2 linked regions of the Astyanax mexicanus genome follow. The protein of the gene in region 2 purifies or fractionates together with the protein of the main gene of each other region. This does not show direct contact. Links are inferred from orthologs where the notes say so. Each region holds a gene or a part of one and is shown on either strand. Other genes may lie near its edges.

Evidence for each region. Proteins that work in one complex are often made in the same cells at the same time.
Region 1: the proteins of dusp2 (region 2) and mapk1 purify together in Homo sapiens (affinity purification with mass spectrometry; 4 studies listed by BioGRID and IntAct, with this or other methods). This does not show direct contact. The link is inferred for Astyanax mexicanus from reciprocal best matches to the Homo sapiens genes DUSP2 and MAPK1.

The regions. Positions count from the first base shown.
Region 1 is NC_064429.1:30,991,108-30,998,977, reverse strand, and holds the start of mapk1 (mitogen-activated protein kinase 1), read right to left. Parts: upstream 3,031-7,870; 5' UTR 2,781-3,030; coding exon 2,629-2,780; intron 1-2,628. UniProt on the Homo sapiens protein: Serine/threonine kinase which acts as an essential component of the MAP kinase signal transduction pathway. MAPK1/ERK2 and MAPK3/ERK1 are the 2 MAPKs which play an important role in the MAPK/ERK cascade.
Region 2 is NC_064419.1:28,769,261-28,777,259, forward strand, and holds the start of dusp2 (dual specificity protein phosphatase 2), read right to left. Parts: upstream 3,159-7,999; 5' UTR 2,172-3,158; coding exon 1,790-2,171; intron 668-1,789; coding exon 537-667; intron 398-536; coding exon 178-397; intron 1-177. UniProt on the Homo sapiens protein: Dephosphorylates both phosphorylated Thr and Tyr residues in MAPK1, and dephosphorylation of phosphotyrosine is slightly faster than that of phosphothreonine. Can dephosphorylate MAPK1.

The sequences.
Region 1 (7,870 bases), on a different chromosome or scaffold from region 2:
ACTCAGGAGCTGGTGCTACATGCTTTCAGCCTGGGTTAGGTCAAGTTGACCAAGTATACCTGACCCATTTCATTATTCGAAGTTATGCCACCCTGCCATGTCCCAGTTTCAATCAGAGCCTGTTCAAGCCATTCAACAGCACTATAAAGGAGTGTATTAAAATACAAGTACAACAGTTTAATATTAAATGTTGCAAATTTGTTCATATTTGTTAAAAAGTGGAAACAACAGAATACACAGCTAGTCTTATAGGCATTATTTCAATTTACGTGCACATGTACTATATGTATACATTACATTACTGACTTATCGTGCAATAAATGGACATTACCCACTGTGTCTATTGTCTATTGTGTTTGTATTTGTATGTTTGTTTGTTTGTCATGTAGTTACCAACACTTTAATAACTGGATGAATGAAAAAGTACATATTTCACCATAATTATGATTAATTAAAATTTGTGTTTTTTATAAAAAGGATATAATTCCTTTGTTATTCTGTTATATGCTATTATCATTGTGTCAGTGGCATTTATTATGCAATAATTTAATTTCGCAATAATTTATGTGATGATATATTGTCCACAAAATTACTTGGCAGGCCTATATTGTATAGGCTAAGGACATGTAATGAGTTATATGATCTAAAATTGTAAAACCTAGAGGTACAGAAGAGTGAATCGGTAAGGTAAATTGCTAATTTGTTTAGTATATAAGACAATGTTTCTTGAAAATAAGTGTTTTTGTTATTGCACAGTCCCTTCATTTTATTACATATAAAGATGAATATTTGGCTGTTAAGCCTATTTTGGCTATTTTCTTAGTGCTTTTTAATTTGTTGAATCATGGAAACAATATGCAGTTAGACAAAACTGCAATCATGCTAAAGAAGTGGTTGCTTCTCAAATGTTTTAACTGACAATTAAACATCAAAATCCTTAAAAAAAAATCAACTGAAATATGACAAATCATATGCTATATATATATATATATATATATATATATATATATATATATATATATATATATCATATATAAAAAAATAAAATAAAATAAATATAAAAAAAATTCACTCCCTATCCTACATCCAGGGTTTGTAATGCAACCACTCAGAACAATATATATATATATATAGGATAGGGAGTGAATTATCAAGAGAAACTGTTTTAGTTTTTGTCCTTATTTTATCTTTTTTTTATTTTCTTTCACACTCTACCAACTTGTAAGGACAATGCTGCTGGTACTAATAATAATCCAGTTGCACTAGTAGCTAGTGCTAGTTAGCAGTGCTTAAACAAATCTTTAAGGAGAAATCTTGTGTGAAATAAATTTGATTTGTAGTGATCCTTGATAATAAATAGAAACTTTTGTTAAATATTCCACCTCCATTCACCACCATCATTCTGAAATAAAGCACTTTTAGCCGATGCTCCCAACAGGCTTACAATGCTAGTGATAGGGGCACAGAGTTGCCTATGCAAGAATGCAAAATCAACATGCATGTGGAAATGCATGAATATCTCTATAATATTGAAAAAATAGCACAGAATTAATTTTGCAATCTGTCACCCTATCCTACCGATTCATGCTCATCAGTCGACTTATCACTTCTTGATTTCAAGATGCCAGCACCCAGAGAAGTACCTGAAGGTACTATGTGTATAATAAAAAGTCTTTTTAATAAACTAAATGTGCATTTTTAAAGCCTCATTTTTTGACTATTTTTAACTGTTAGGACGCTTGAAATTCTCCCAATGAAATGTAGAGCTACTTTGAGCTTTGTAATGTTGGTAATTATGATTTTAATTTGTTTGCATGGCCTACTATATGCCCCCTCACTGTACAGCAGTGTAAGCCAGTAAGCCTGTTAGTTGGGAGCATCAGCTAAAAGTGAGAAAGAGGGCTATTCAACAAAAGTTTGTACTTTTCATGTTTTCAAGTTTCACTACAAACCAAGTCCATTTCACACAAGATTTCTCCTTTAAACACTGCACTGATTAAATAAATGTAGGGCAGGTTTTTGGTCATTATAACATTTAGCAGTTTAATTTTCTGACCGTTTGAGGCTAAATTCAAAATTAGAAAATTGAATGTAAAAACATATTTTTTTATGTAGTTCAGTGCTCAAGAAATAAGTTTTATCCATTTTTCAAGTTTTAGTTTTTTCATCACTTTCCCTTACAATCGGAATTACAGGAAATTTTTCTGATTTTTAGATTTTTGCATTTTGCAAGTGGATTATAACATCGGATATGTGATACAAGACACAAAAATAGACAAATCTGAAAATCAAAAGTAGAAAACTTTTCATTTTTCTTGAAATTCTGTTCGCGAAAGGCAGATATGAAAAACTTAATAACTGAATGAATTACCATTTCATCTTCACTATAGTAAATGGAAAAAGTATAAAGTTTTATACCCTATTTTTTGAATTTGCGATTTAAGCTTGATACAGTCAGAAAAATAAACTGCTAAATGTTACACTGATGGATTTTGCTTATTAAACTATATTTAATCAATTTAAAATGAAAGAAAAAGTAGCTATGTAACTGTGTATGTAAGTTATTTGTTTGTGTGTTCGAGGGCTAAATATAATATAAAAATGAGTATTAAGGTGAAAAAAACTTACCAGACCATGCCATAAGCGCCCTCCCCAATATAGGAGAGGTTGGTGTATCGTGGCCCCACGTCGAAGGCCTGCCCGCGGACAAGCTCGGCCCCAGAGCCGGGGTTAGTGCCGCCTCCGCCGGCAGGACCAGACACCGCAGCCGCCGTCGCCATTGTTGAACCGAGCTGCCTTCACTCACACCCGCACTCACACATACACTCCCCGCAGCACAGCCACGACTCTCCAAACAGCAGAAACGACGAGTTTCGGTGTCTCACAACACCCAGCACGAGCCGTCCGCACTAGAAAAAGCTCTTCTGGTGCGATAAAAGTGAGTAAAAACAACAAAAAGTTGCAGCGAAAATCACTCCACTTCAGTGACGCTCCGCTACGCCCGCTGTGCGATTCGAGACTGCAGGCAGGCGGCGGCGGAGCCAGCGCGAGCAAACAGCGAGCGAGGCCCGGATCGTGCGCGAATCGGTTCATTCGAATCGTTTCTTGTGAACACATTGTGCGAACCGATACGCAACAAGGTGTGAAAATTCACATTCGTTACTCAGATAAAATTATAGATACTAGTGTTTAAAAAACTTCTGTAGAATTTTAAGTTGAAATCAGCTCAAGCTTTTTACTCAAAAGTAAATGTACTGGTTTCAAAACTACTTAATGTATAAAAGTAAAAGTAATAAAAAAAGTAAAGGGAAAAATAAGGCTATTAAGGATAAAATCTTAGGCCAAACCACAGGATCCTATAGTGCACCACCCCCTCCCAAAACACATTTTTTCTTAAAGCCATAATGACTATAATGTTATATTAATGTTATATTAATGTTGATACATTTGGGATAGAAAAATCTACGCAACAATCCAAGTTATAGTCTATTTTTTCCCAGTTAGTGTGTGAAATAGTGTGTAAAATTTCCATTGATTGTAAAAGTCCATTGATTCATTAAAGCAGCTGTCCCTTGTGAAATTTGGGACAAAATATTCAAATTAGTTGGTATCATTCTAAAAACAGAATCAAGTGGTCTGGTTGGTTTGTTTTTAGGCTGTAATTGCTTGCAGTCTGACAGTATTTTATAAATGAACAAAAATATTTAATTTAAAAAAAGGGTTACACAACATTTACAGTAACCTGAATTTAAAGGACTTTTCCACACATTCTCTCATCAGAGAGGTCTCTAAATCCCCAAATCTTACAGATGGTCCCTTTAAATGTATTATTATTATTATTATTATTATTATTATTATTATTATTATTATTATTATTATTATTGTTGTTGTTGTTGTTTCATTATCTGTTTTATTATATCTTAAAAGCAATGATTAATACATAATTTAATAATATAAATTATTGCTTTGTAATAGACACGCTTTAGATACATTTATCAGACTAGATAGATAGATAGATAGATAGATAGATAGATAGATAGATAGATAGATAGATAGATAGATAGATATATAGATAGACTAACCTTTAAACAATCGATTCTGAATCGATTCTGTCTCTGTGAGAGTCAAATCTCTAGTTCACTAGTAAGTGAAAGCAGTGAACAGAGAAAGTGAGCTAATGCTGTGTGAAAATCTCTTCTATCTCTACACGAAATTAAAAGCTCATATGATTTGTGACTGAATGACTTGTTGATTGGCACTTTCGATTCGATAAAATGAACCCTTTAATAGAACCGATTCGATTAACTGAATCGAACACTACGAGCTGCTTCCCGCATGAAATAACGGCGGAGACCACGTGACCACACAGGAGCGTCAGCCTACAAATGATCAGAAAACTTGTCAGAAAATTTTCATTTTCCAAATAAAAAACTAGAATTGAATATTCAGAATATAAGCTATAGCTATACAGGAACACATGCAGAATTATTCTATAAACAAAAAAAGGAAATCATGTTTCCCGAATTGTACATGAGAAAGTAGATAATTGCCACCTATGGGTTTACATTTCATACAAACTCTTAATTCCTAATTTCCTTTTTATGAAATTCCTACAGGAATAAATAAAGTATCGATCTATACTCTGTGTAACAATATATTTTTCAACATTTAGTCTGAATGTACATATTCTTACAATAAAGAGCAATGTTAACCTGCACTTTAAAAAAACTTTCTTGTAAATGTTATACAGTTATTTTTGTTTGTTTTTTTAAGTTAAACCTGAAAAAAAAATCATTTTTTATTTTTTAAATTTACTCATTTTAGAAAATTATGTGCTACTTTAACTTTAAAACGCAGGGTAGAAGTGCAAATGCGTGCAAGATGCAAAATTTTGTTATTTTTTACTACAATTTTAAAATTGTCTTGCAAACATATCTTAACAATAAAGTTACACAAATGTTGCACTATATTTTTAATCATATCCACCAAAACATGTTTGGTGGATATGTGTTTCACTTCATGCCTTTAGTAAAAAAAAAACATGTTTCTCCAGATTTACACGTTTATCTAAGGCATCGTGGCGGGACTCACTACACACTGAGGGTGAGTCGAATAAGAAAAGAATATGGATAACAGTGCACATTCCTGGTACATGTTTGACAGTGTGGATTGAGGAATGTTCAATGCTCTTATCTTTATACTATGGAAGTGAAATGCCCCATCCATCTGCACCTATTATCGGATCTGCCTTGAACTACAATAATTATCATTGCCTTGCCATGAGCATGTTAGCCCCTGTTTATTCAACCTCACTCACAAGATATCACCTCACAACTTATAAGGGTTTGGGCTTTTGTTTCCAAACCATGCCCTGAGATAACACTTCAATTTATACACTTGGATGTACATGTCACATATAATTAATACTGCTATCCCATGATTTTTGGCATGTATTTAACATTAATCTCCTCAATCTTTTACTACAATATTTGTATTAAGTCTGCATTCAAATTACACACACTTCAAGTCATGCAGCTTGCCATCAGCTGCCAGAGCCCTGAGAGAGCACAATTGGTCTTGCTCTCTTTGGGTGGGAACAGTAGATGGCACTCTTTCCCCTCATCACTACTAGGGTGATGTGGATCAGCACAAGGCGTCTGTGAGCTGATGTATCAGAACCACGTCACTGCGCTTTCCTCTAAACGCGCTGTGATGCTACTCGGTAATGCTGCATCATCAGCTGTTTAAAAAGAGGCGGAGTCTGACTTCACATGGATCGAAGGAGGCATCCCCCTCCTGGTGTTTTGGGGCATCACTAGTGATGGGGGAGTCCTTATGAGTGGGTAGGGTTATTGGCTATATATAAATTATATTAATAAAAAATACACATATTGTAAAAATACTTATGAATTTAACTGTACGGTCAAACCTGAAACAGAAAGCGAAGGTAGAAACATGAGGGTAAGTGGATTTGAATTAATCCCTTTAACCATCAGTCCGCCCAAAAGAGCTCTGATCCAGGTAGAGCAGCTGCTCTTACGTAACCAAGAGTCTGGATTAAACCTAGGAAAAAGATTTCATTTGTTACAATAAATAATCCTAATACCCAAAAACAGAACAAAGGAGTTAATGTGGTTATAGTTTATTATTATCACAATCACTGAACAGACTTCAACTCTCTCAACTCAACAGCAAAGCTGATAAAGCTGTTATGAACTTATATGAACAATATAATATAATACAATACTTTTCATTGACATTTAAGAAAATGAGTCCACATAAAATACTGCAATCAGTCCAGATCACTTTAGTTATTAACATTAAATTATGTGATACATTTGATGGCTATTCAATACTACAGTATTATGAGTTATGAGTGCATACAATACAAAAACACATCCAGTTGGACAGAGTCAATCCTGGCAGTGAAAAGTGAAAAGTTACCAACACTTATATAAGTACAGTACTACACACAAACACAGACACAGGGTTATAGAACATAGATAAAATTGTCAAGCTTAGTATGTATTAAATTATTATTACATATATATATATATATATATATATATATTAAATGCTGCATGTAATGTTTCAGGAAATACATCTGAACAAGCTGAACGGAAACTAAATAAGGCACCAATATAAAGGCCTCAGGTTGGGAGACATCATACATATTGTTGCTGTCCAATGAACAAAAAACAATCAGTCTTGTAAGGTACAGTCAAACTGTGCCTTACACTGTGCCAAAATGTCTTGATCACTGGACCAATAGAAATACTTAAAATGACCTGAAATAAACTCTTTTTACATTGACTTCCATTGAAAGTTTGGAAGGTTTTTTCTCTCTTCTGAAAATTTGCTGTTTTGGAGATACTGCTTGTTTTTTTTTATTGGACAGCGACGATATACTGTACCAGACAAAGGTTTGGACACACCTTCATATTTCAAAGTTTTTGTTTTAATTTTTTTTTACTATATTATAAATGAATACTGAAGTGATCCAAACTATGAAAGAACACATATAGAATCTTGTAGTAACTTAAAACTGTTAAACAAACCAAAATACTCTGTGTAGCATTTAGGTGCTCTTATCTGGGGAGCTGTTAACTTGCAGTATAACGTTTTTTTTTTGTTTCAGATTGACTGACCTTCTTTTCTAAAAGTATTTTTTTCTTTACTTAAGTAGTTGAGTAGTTCTTGCTTCTAATAATCTGGATTAGAATGTTACTCAAATAGAGTTATTCACTGTATACCTGTAACTCTACCTCTTCACTACTTTACAACTGATGCTCTCAAACACTTTATTAAGAGACAAGAAATTCAAGTAATTAACTCTTGATGAGTTCAGCACAGCTGTTAACTGAAAGCCTGAATTCCAGGTGACTCTACCTCATAAAATTGATTAAGAAAATCCAGTCAAGATGTGCAAAGCTGTCATCTAGGCAAGAGGTGCTACTTTGAAGAATCTAAAATATAAAACATATCCAGGTTTGGTAAACAATTTTTTGTGTGATTATTTTTTAAATAAATGATGAAAAAACACTAAATTTAAGTTGTGTCCAAACTCTTGACTGGTACTGTGTCTGTGTACAGTTTTCAATTCATTTTTGTGTGTTTCAATTAATATAAAAAAACATCCATATTTCAGCATAATTCACTTTTCATTTTGGCACAAATCTAACTTTAGGCCAGTTGTGAAAGTAAGGTATATTCTTACAAGCTCTTATACTCTAAAGGTCAGCCTCTCTGACCCTGATTAAGCTTAATCCTAGACTAATTGGGCTATTCCATGCTACAGCCGCAGTCCTTAAGATTTTCTTTTTAACCCTTTCAGACCCTGCATCCATTACAAACGACATCATTTATTTTC
Region 2 (7,999 bases):
GAGTGTGATGACACAGTCCTGATGTTATCTAAAGTAGATAAGTTTCCATTACTTATTTTAGGCTACATTAGCTTCATAGCTCCATTACCCACTACTGTAACCCATTCTGTACAGTACAGTAAAAACGGTAACACATTCTGACTTTGTTCAAAAAAGTAAATAAACTGGGATGCTCACCGATAAAGCGAATAGCCTCAGGGAAGAACACCCGTATATCTGCGGCCAGGCTGTCCTCCACCTTCAGTGTCATGTACTGCAGCTCCTGCTCGAACAGATTGGGACAGGATGAGGAGACGTTGAGGACAGCCGTGATGCCGCAGCGCTCCAGTGTGTCTCTCTGGGACGAGTGGTGAGCGCTGCCCAGGAAGAGAAAGGGCAGGATCTCCACAGGGTCTCCCTGCCAAAGCAAAACACACACTCACATTGAGTTCACTTACACTAAAAGAATCTGAAATCAGTTTCTTACATTCTGGGACTTCGGATCCCAGTTGTGTTAGTTTCTGTATTCCTTATATTTGTGTTATATTGATAATTACCTGGTCATACAGAGGCATGCTCTTGGTGGAGTTGAGGGTTTCTGGGTCACTCAGTGTCGAGGGGCTCCCACACTTAAGTGGAGTGTTTAAACACAGCTCAGGATACAACGATACAAATTCTTCAAATCCACCTGAAACACATGTACACACAGAGTATTCATCAGTAAATGAACTCACAGTGAGACCAAATCATATTTTACATGTATGGTGTACAAAAGTAATATGTAAACTACATTTAAATGTACATTTAGCAAACAAAGTATTTTAAATGTTACATTAAGGATCAGTGTATTATCTGGCAGATATTTTTTTCTATTCAAAAAAAGGAGTACTACAGAGTGATAAAAAAAAAATCATATTCAATAACCATATATTTGCATAACCATAACATTGTCAGTTTCACATGGAAACCTTGTATCTCAAAACATCTACAGTGCAGCTTGTTATTATGAAGTGGCAGTTCAGGGGAACTGTGGAAGTCCAAATGAGATCTGGTAGAACTATAGAAAATCTTGAATAAAATAAATATTTCTAAAAATACATATAATAGAAATTTATATAGTTACTCCCACAAAACATTTTTTCTTATTTTTTTTCTTAATAATAGAAAAGTCATTTAGGAGAATTCATCAAATTTATCATTGTTTATAAAATTCTGACACAATATAAAGAAAAAATCCCAGATCCAAAGGGTGTCAAAAAGTGGAAAATGGCTTGATAATGTTTTAACATTTACAAATTTGAATTTATTAACATTTTTAATTAAATTGCTTTGTATTTTTATAGTTCACAGGGATGCACAGAAGTTTAAATATTTGGCTCAAACTAAATTAAAGGACAAATACTGTACAAAGTTTTATTTTTGTCATTTTTGTCATTTCTCATCAGTAAATGATTTAAATAGCCCAGGTGTATTTAGTGTATACACATAAAACGCTATTACAAAACTACAGTTTAATAAATAGTTATTGTAAGTAATAAATTAATGGTTATATTAGCACTAAAATGGAGACATCTGATTCTGTTCTCCATCATTCCAAACAAACATGTAACTTTCTCTAAAATGAACACTTTAACAGCAGAACATTTTCTGCAGTACGGTCGCTTTGGTATCATAATAATGAGTGAATTTTCTATAACTTGTAAATTGTATGAACTTCCCCTTTAACTCAATGTGCAGGGTTTAATGATTTGACCTATTTCATGTCTCTGTTAGTGTGAATGTGTTGGTTAGGTGGTGGTGTGTTGTTTACCTTGCAGGAAGCAGACCTCCGTGCCCTCCTCCCGCAGCTCCTCCTGCAGCGCGCGCAGCAGCAGCCCGGCCACGCTCTCTCTGCGCAGCTCGCGCACCGAGCGGCTCGCCTCGTCCAGCACCACCACGCGCGCGCACTCACCGGCGCGCAGCTGTCTCAGCAGCGCGCGGTCTGCCACCAGCCGCTCCAGGGGGCGCGCGCTCGCCAGGCCCATCCGCGCGCGCTCCCTGCGCATCAGCACTGAGTTCCAGTTGACGCTGTGAGAGAAGGCCAGGCGCGCGCCGCAGAAGGCCAGGAACGGCCTGCAGTCCAGCAGCAGCGGGAGCGCGCAGTGGGTGCGCACCATCTGCGCGAGCTCGCAGCTAGTGATTTCCACAGGCATTAGCCCTGTTGTCCCAGTGTACAGTGTGTGTGAAAAAGAGTGTGTTTATGTGTGTGTGACCCGGCGACCTCCACACTGTCTGTCAGCAGCTGCTCGACATCTTTATCTGCTGTTTTTATTATTCTTCGCAGAAAGCAAAAAAAAGGTTTAAAAAAAGTTAAAAACAAGCTTCAGTAAATTCTGTAAATGTCCATATGAGTGTCTGAAGCCCCCCTGCGTGCTGTAGAAGTGTGTGAGAGCTGTAGAACTGAGTGTGTGTGGGGTGTTTAGTCTCTGCTCCTGTGTTTTCTCTGTTGTTGTGGTGCTGAAGCTCTTTTGAAGCGCCTGCTTCCAAAGCCCCGCCCATTTTCCACCGGTCACAGGCGGGAACTCCATATATGGGCACTCAGTCTCACACCGGTACTGCCATATATGGAATAGTGACGCGCACGCCCCTCCGGTTTCCCCCAGGCGCTCGACAGACCGGGGATACACACATCAACACACACACCAACTCTCTCCCTTTTAATCACCCTGTCTCTGTCTCTCACTTTTTTAGCCCTGCCATTTCTCTCTCCCCTTCTCTCTCTCCCCTTCTCTCTCTCTCTCCTTTTGCCTTCACACCTCTGTCTTTCTCTCCATCTTCTCTGTCATCTTCTCTGCCATCTATCTATCTATCTATCTATCTATCTATCTATCTATCTATCTATCTATCTATCTATCTATCTATCTATCTGTCTGTCTGTCTGTCTTCTTCCTCTCTCAGTCTCTATCTATCACCCTTTTTTGCAATCCTACCCTCACTCCTCTTTTATTGTTTGCGTAGGCCATTATTTTCCATCCATCCATCCATCAGTCTTACACACTGCTTTTGGATAACTTTATCCCACTTTATGCCATTCCAAGCAGTTCAGCTTGGTTTGATGGCTTGTGATCATCCATCTTCCTCTTAATTATATTCCAGAGGTTTTCAATTCGGTAAAATCAAAGAAACTCATAATTTTTTAGTGGTCGCTTTTTTTTCCAGAGCTGTATATCTTTTTTGCCTCTCTCTTTGTCCTTTTATTTCCCTTTTTGCCTAACTTCTGTTTCTTTCTCTCTGTGCAATTTCCTTCTGGATTATTCTGTTAATAAGGTCACATGCACATGCACACGTACACACACGTACACGCGCGCACACACACACACACACACACACACACACACATATATATATATATATATATATATATATATATATATATATATTATATACACACACACATCAGAGGAGCAGAGCAGAGGATTGCTTTTGAATCACTCTGTTTGATGATACTCTGTGACAATGCCACTGTGTGTATATGTTTGTGGGTGAGTGTGTGTATGTGTGAGCAATACACCTCCAGTATATTTTCCATGCAGGTGTAGCAACAGGTTGGCTGGTCATGGTAAGGATGCTGTGATGAAGAACACACAGACTAAACTAATGGTATATTACACAAAACTCACTTTTTGCATGCTTTTGTATTTCCAAAAAAGAAAATCATTTTTTTCGTTTTCTAAGTCAGTTGAAAGAGTTTGTGTCAGGAATCATATGCTTCTATGAGCCATTTGCTTGGCTCCCTTATTGTGACGTCACAATAAGGAGACCTGATTAGACCCACCAGAGACCCACCCACTAGATTAGTTGAAGAAACACCATTTTAGTCTGATGATTGAGAACCTAAGACAGTACACAGCAGGATTAGTCAGTAGACTTCGTCTGAAGGAGGGATCTTTGGCAAGTCAGGGTGGGTCCATGGCAAGTCAACAGATGAGAAAGATGTAAGTACTTTTAAAAAAGAGTTTTTTGTGCTTCTATCGCAATTAAGCATGAACTAGTGACAGATCCCTTAAACAGCTCATTCGGAAAGGCACTGAAACTGTCAAAAATAGAGCTGGTATTATCTCCTTATGTGAGAGTGATTTTGTTCAACTTCATGAACATGCGATCTATAGCCCATAGACCTATTTTAACTAGTGTAAAAAGAGGTATAATATGTCCCCTTTTTTGAATCAGTCTAATCTGATCTGCAAACACACTGATAAACACAGAACCAGACAGTAGAACTGCTCACCCACACCCTCACTGATAAAGTCCCACTATTTAGTAAACACCTGCTGCCCTTCTGTCTGCACGTACACACATACATGAGACACATACAAGTTTGAACCCGGTGGTCAACAGAGTGACAATCTGACTGTTTGGGGAGGAAATGCTGAGCTGTGGGATTAGAGTGAGAATTAAACAGCCAGGCAGGAACAGCTAATCTTTTACAGCAATCTGTAATCTGAGGGCACATTCATTCACTAAACACACACCCCACACATACACACACGCTCACTCACAAACACTTTCCAACCACCCTGCACCCACAGTCTCCTTATGTTCAGTTGATCCTAATGTGTTACTAGCTACACTATCATTTTATTATTATTATTATTATTAGTATTATTATTATATTAAATGCATAATGTAATCTTATTATTACATTTGCTTATAGAAGTCATATGATTTAACAAAGCAATATGCAAAATGCAAATGCAATAATTAATATAAAAGCTTAATTGTTTAATTCCTCTTTTGATATTAGTCTTTACTAATTACTAATAGTCTTTTGGTTAATCTGAGGATTCTTCAGTTCTATTTATAAACCCCTAACTGATGGGATCTTACTTGGCAGTATTTAATGTACCAAGATACCATAGGAAGTAAAGTGCCCATTTAACAATTTTCATTTATTTAACTTAAGCTTTTCATGACAACTAAACTTATTATTGAAAAAAGATTAGTGCTTTAATATTTGCAAAACAAAATGTAAAAATGTAATAAAATAACAGACATCTACTTTTGAAATGTAAACTGTATTTTCTTACCATAATTGAATAATTAGAGTTCGAATTAAAGTACAAACCATCAAGCTCAAACACTGTTGTCTCTTCATTCAACAGCAAAACCCACATAAGTAAAACAGATCTGTAGAACATGTTATATTACGATACTTATGGTACGTATCCACTAGCATTTTTCAACTCAGCATGCACCACGGCATGCAGCATCTCTCTCAATTGAAATGAATGGTCAGCAAATGCAGCAGGGAGGACGGGAGGCGGAAGTAAATGCATGGTAATTTATTTACAAGAAAACCAAATAAATAAACCAAAACAAGATACAAGAACAGACAGGACTACTAAAATTAACACTGAATATACTAACAAAACATAAAACAAAAAACAGCAACCTGACTGACCTAGAACAGGCACAAGACCAGCCATCCTAACACTTAAAACACAGGGGCTTAAATACACATGGAGGGAACAGGAAACACCTGGGGACAGGTAAAGAGGGGCAGAGCTACAAATGAACACAGGCAAGAAGACAAGAAGAGACACTGACAGCTAGGCAACAAACAAAGGAGGGGTAAAAACATGGAGGCTGACATGAGACAGGACAAGGACGTGACATGAGTAGGATTCACTGAGACTATAATCTATTAGAGAAGGCCTTTAAAAACAAAAGCTACTTAAGAAAAATATAGAAACAAATTAAAAAATGCTAAAAGCTAATACTTACAAAAAATGGTGATTGTAAAAAAAACATACACAACGTCACAACATCTCTCAAAAGTGAAGACCTTTTCTGGCTATGCTGTGTAGATCCACTCATCTCTATTTGTTTCAAAACAGCACATTTTCTATCTTATTTTTATTAGCATATTTTAATTTTTTCATTTGCTGTTATTGCCCAGGGTACAGTCTCTTCATCTAGCTAATCACAAAAGATTCAGACTAAAACAGACAGCAACTCTACTGAGTAAGACTGTGCAACGGTTAAAAAATAAATACCCTCCTGATATTGTTCCTGTCACATGCTCTGCATCTTTTTTGTTATTTCAGCCAATATTTTTAATATATATATATATATATATATATATATATATATACATTGGAATTTGGAAAAAATGTTGTCTGTAGTTTAAAAAATAAAACAATAATGTTCATTTTACTCAAATATATACCTATAAATAGCAAAATCAGAGAATTCAGAACTGGATGTCCCAGAACTGGAGAAATTGAAGAGACCAATCTCAAGCCCTCAAGTCTAAGTACTTGTCTAAGTACTGAGAAAGACTATAAAAACAATTTAAAAATAAATAGGCTCCTAATATTGTTCCTATCACATTCGAAGATATGCTATGCTAGGCTAGAAAAACTAATTTTTTTAACCAAATTAATGTCTTGTACCGGGAGATGTACAAAATTGTTTTGTTTTTTAACTCAGAAGACTGTCGTTGTATCCTAACCTTCATACTTGCTCCATAGCTTGAAATGCTCCACATACATTATCGTTTTCCTATAAAGTGGCCAGTGGATGTATATTTGTACATCATGGTTAGCATTAGTCATTTTTTTTTTATTCCTCTCTTACACTCCTCCAGAAAGTGTAAATTGCCTCGTTATACAAAGCCTTAGCTGAGGAAATTCATATGCTGTCAAAACTGCAACACTTCCTACAGGCTGAGATCACACCTGATCTATTCTGAGGGATTATTAACAAGGAGAGAGACAGAAGAAGCTGGGCCTCAGACACAGGCCGACTCACAGGTATGGGAATGCGTCATAGGTGACAGACATGGAGGTAGGCTGTGTTTTGTTGTAGAACCAAAAAAATGTTCTTCATGAGGTAACAAGGAGTTTTATGATTCAGTTATAACTGAAAATGAATATGCCAACATGTTAAACTCAGTAAGCTAATTTTCTTATTGCTTTGTAAAAGAAATGGACAGGACTGGGAAAAAATGAATTCATTTAACCTAAGATAAGCACAAATCCAGTATGCATAATTTGTGATGATGATTAACGTTCTCCTGCGATGCCCCCATGTCCGACTCTGATGGATAAAGATTGTACTGACAATGGATGGATGGATGGATGGATGGATTACGGTTCTTGTCGCTTAATGCAATGAAATCCTCACAACAATGTTACAAAATCTAATAGAAACCCTCCCTGGGCAGTGGAGATAATTACTGCAACAAACTCTTAATTAATGTATTATAGTATATAGTGTAGTTAGCATAGTATGTACAGCTCTGGAAAAAATAAGCGACCACTTAAAAATTATGGGTTTCTTTGATTTTACCAAATTGTGAACCTCTGGAAAAAAATCAAGAGGAAGATGGATGTTCACAAGCCAACAAACCAAACTGAACTGCTGGATTTTTTTTGCACCAGGAGTGGCATAAAGTTATCCAAAAGCAGTGTGTAAGACTGGTGGAGGAGAACATGCCAAGATGCATGAAAACTGTGATTAAAAAACAGAATTTTTCCACCAAAAATTGATTTCTGAACTTGTAAAACTTCAGAACTGGATGTCCCAGAACTGAGGAACTGATTCAGAAACTGTAGTGGTCTCTTTTTCTTTTTTTTTCAGAGCTGTATATGGTTCTTTTGTCCTTGCTAATTGGACCTGTAAGATACATATTTGCTTACCTCTACAAGTTATAGGACAGTGTATATGAAATAACAGCATAATGCTACAATTTACATACATTTAATGTCAGTCTTAGTGGATGAGGAGAACTAACTGGACTATATTAACTCCTTACTTTAGTCAATTTGGGTATTTAGCTAAGCTAACAGGTTCTATTAGCAATCAGAGGGTTTTAATGTTTACTGACAGCCAAAATCAATATTTTATTCCAATCATATCTGCATGTGTGAATTATTTATAGTCCATTGACCAATCCCAAGCCCTGTCTTATTTTTTTCAACCATCACGGCGCAGCAACCACGGCAATTCAGAAGTGCCTCAAGCTTTTCTTTACCTC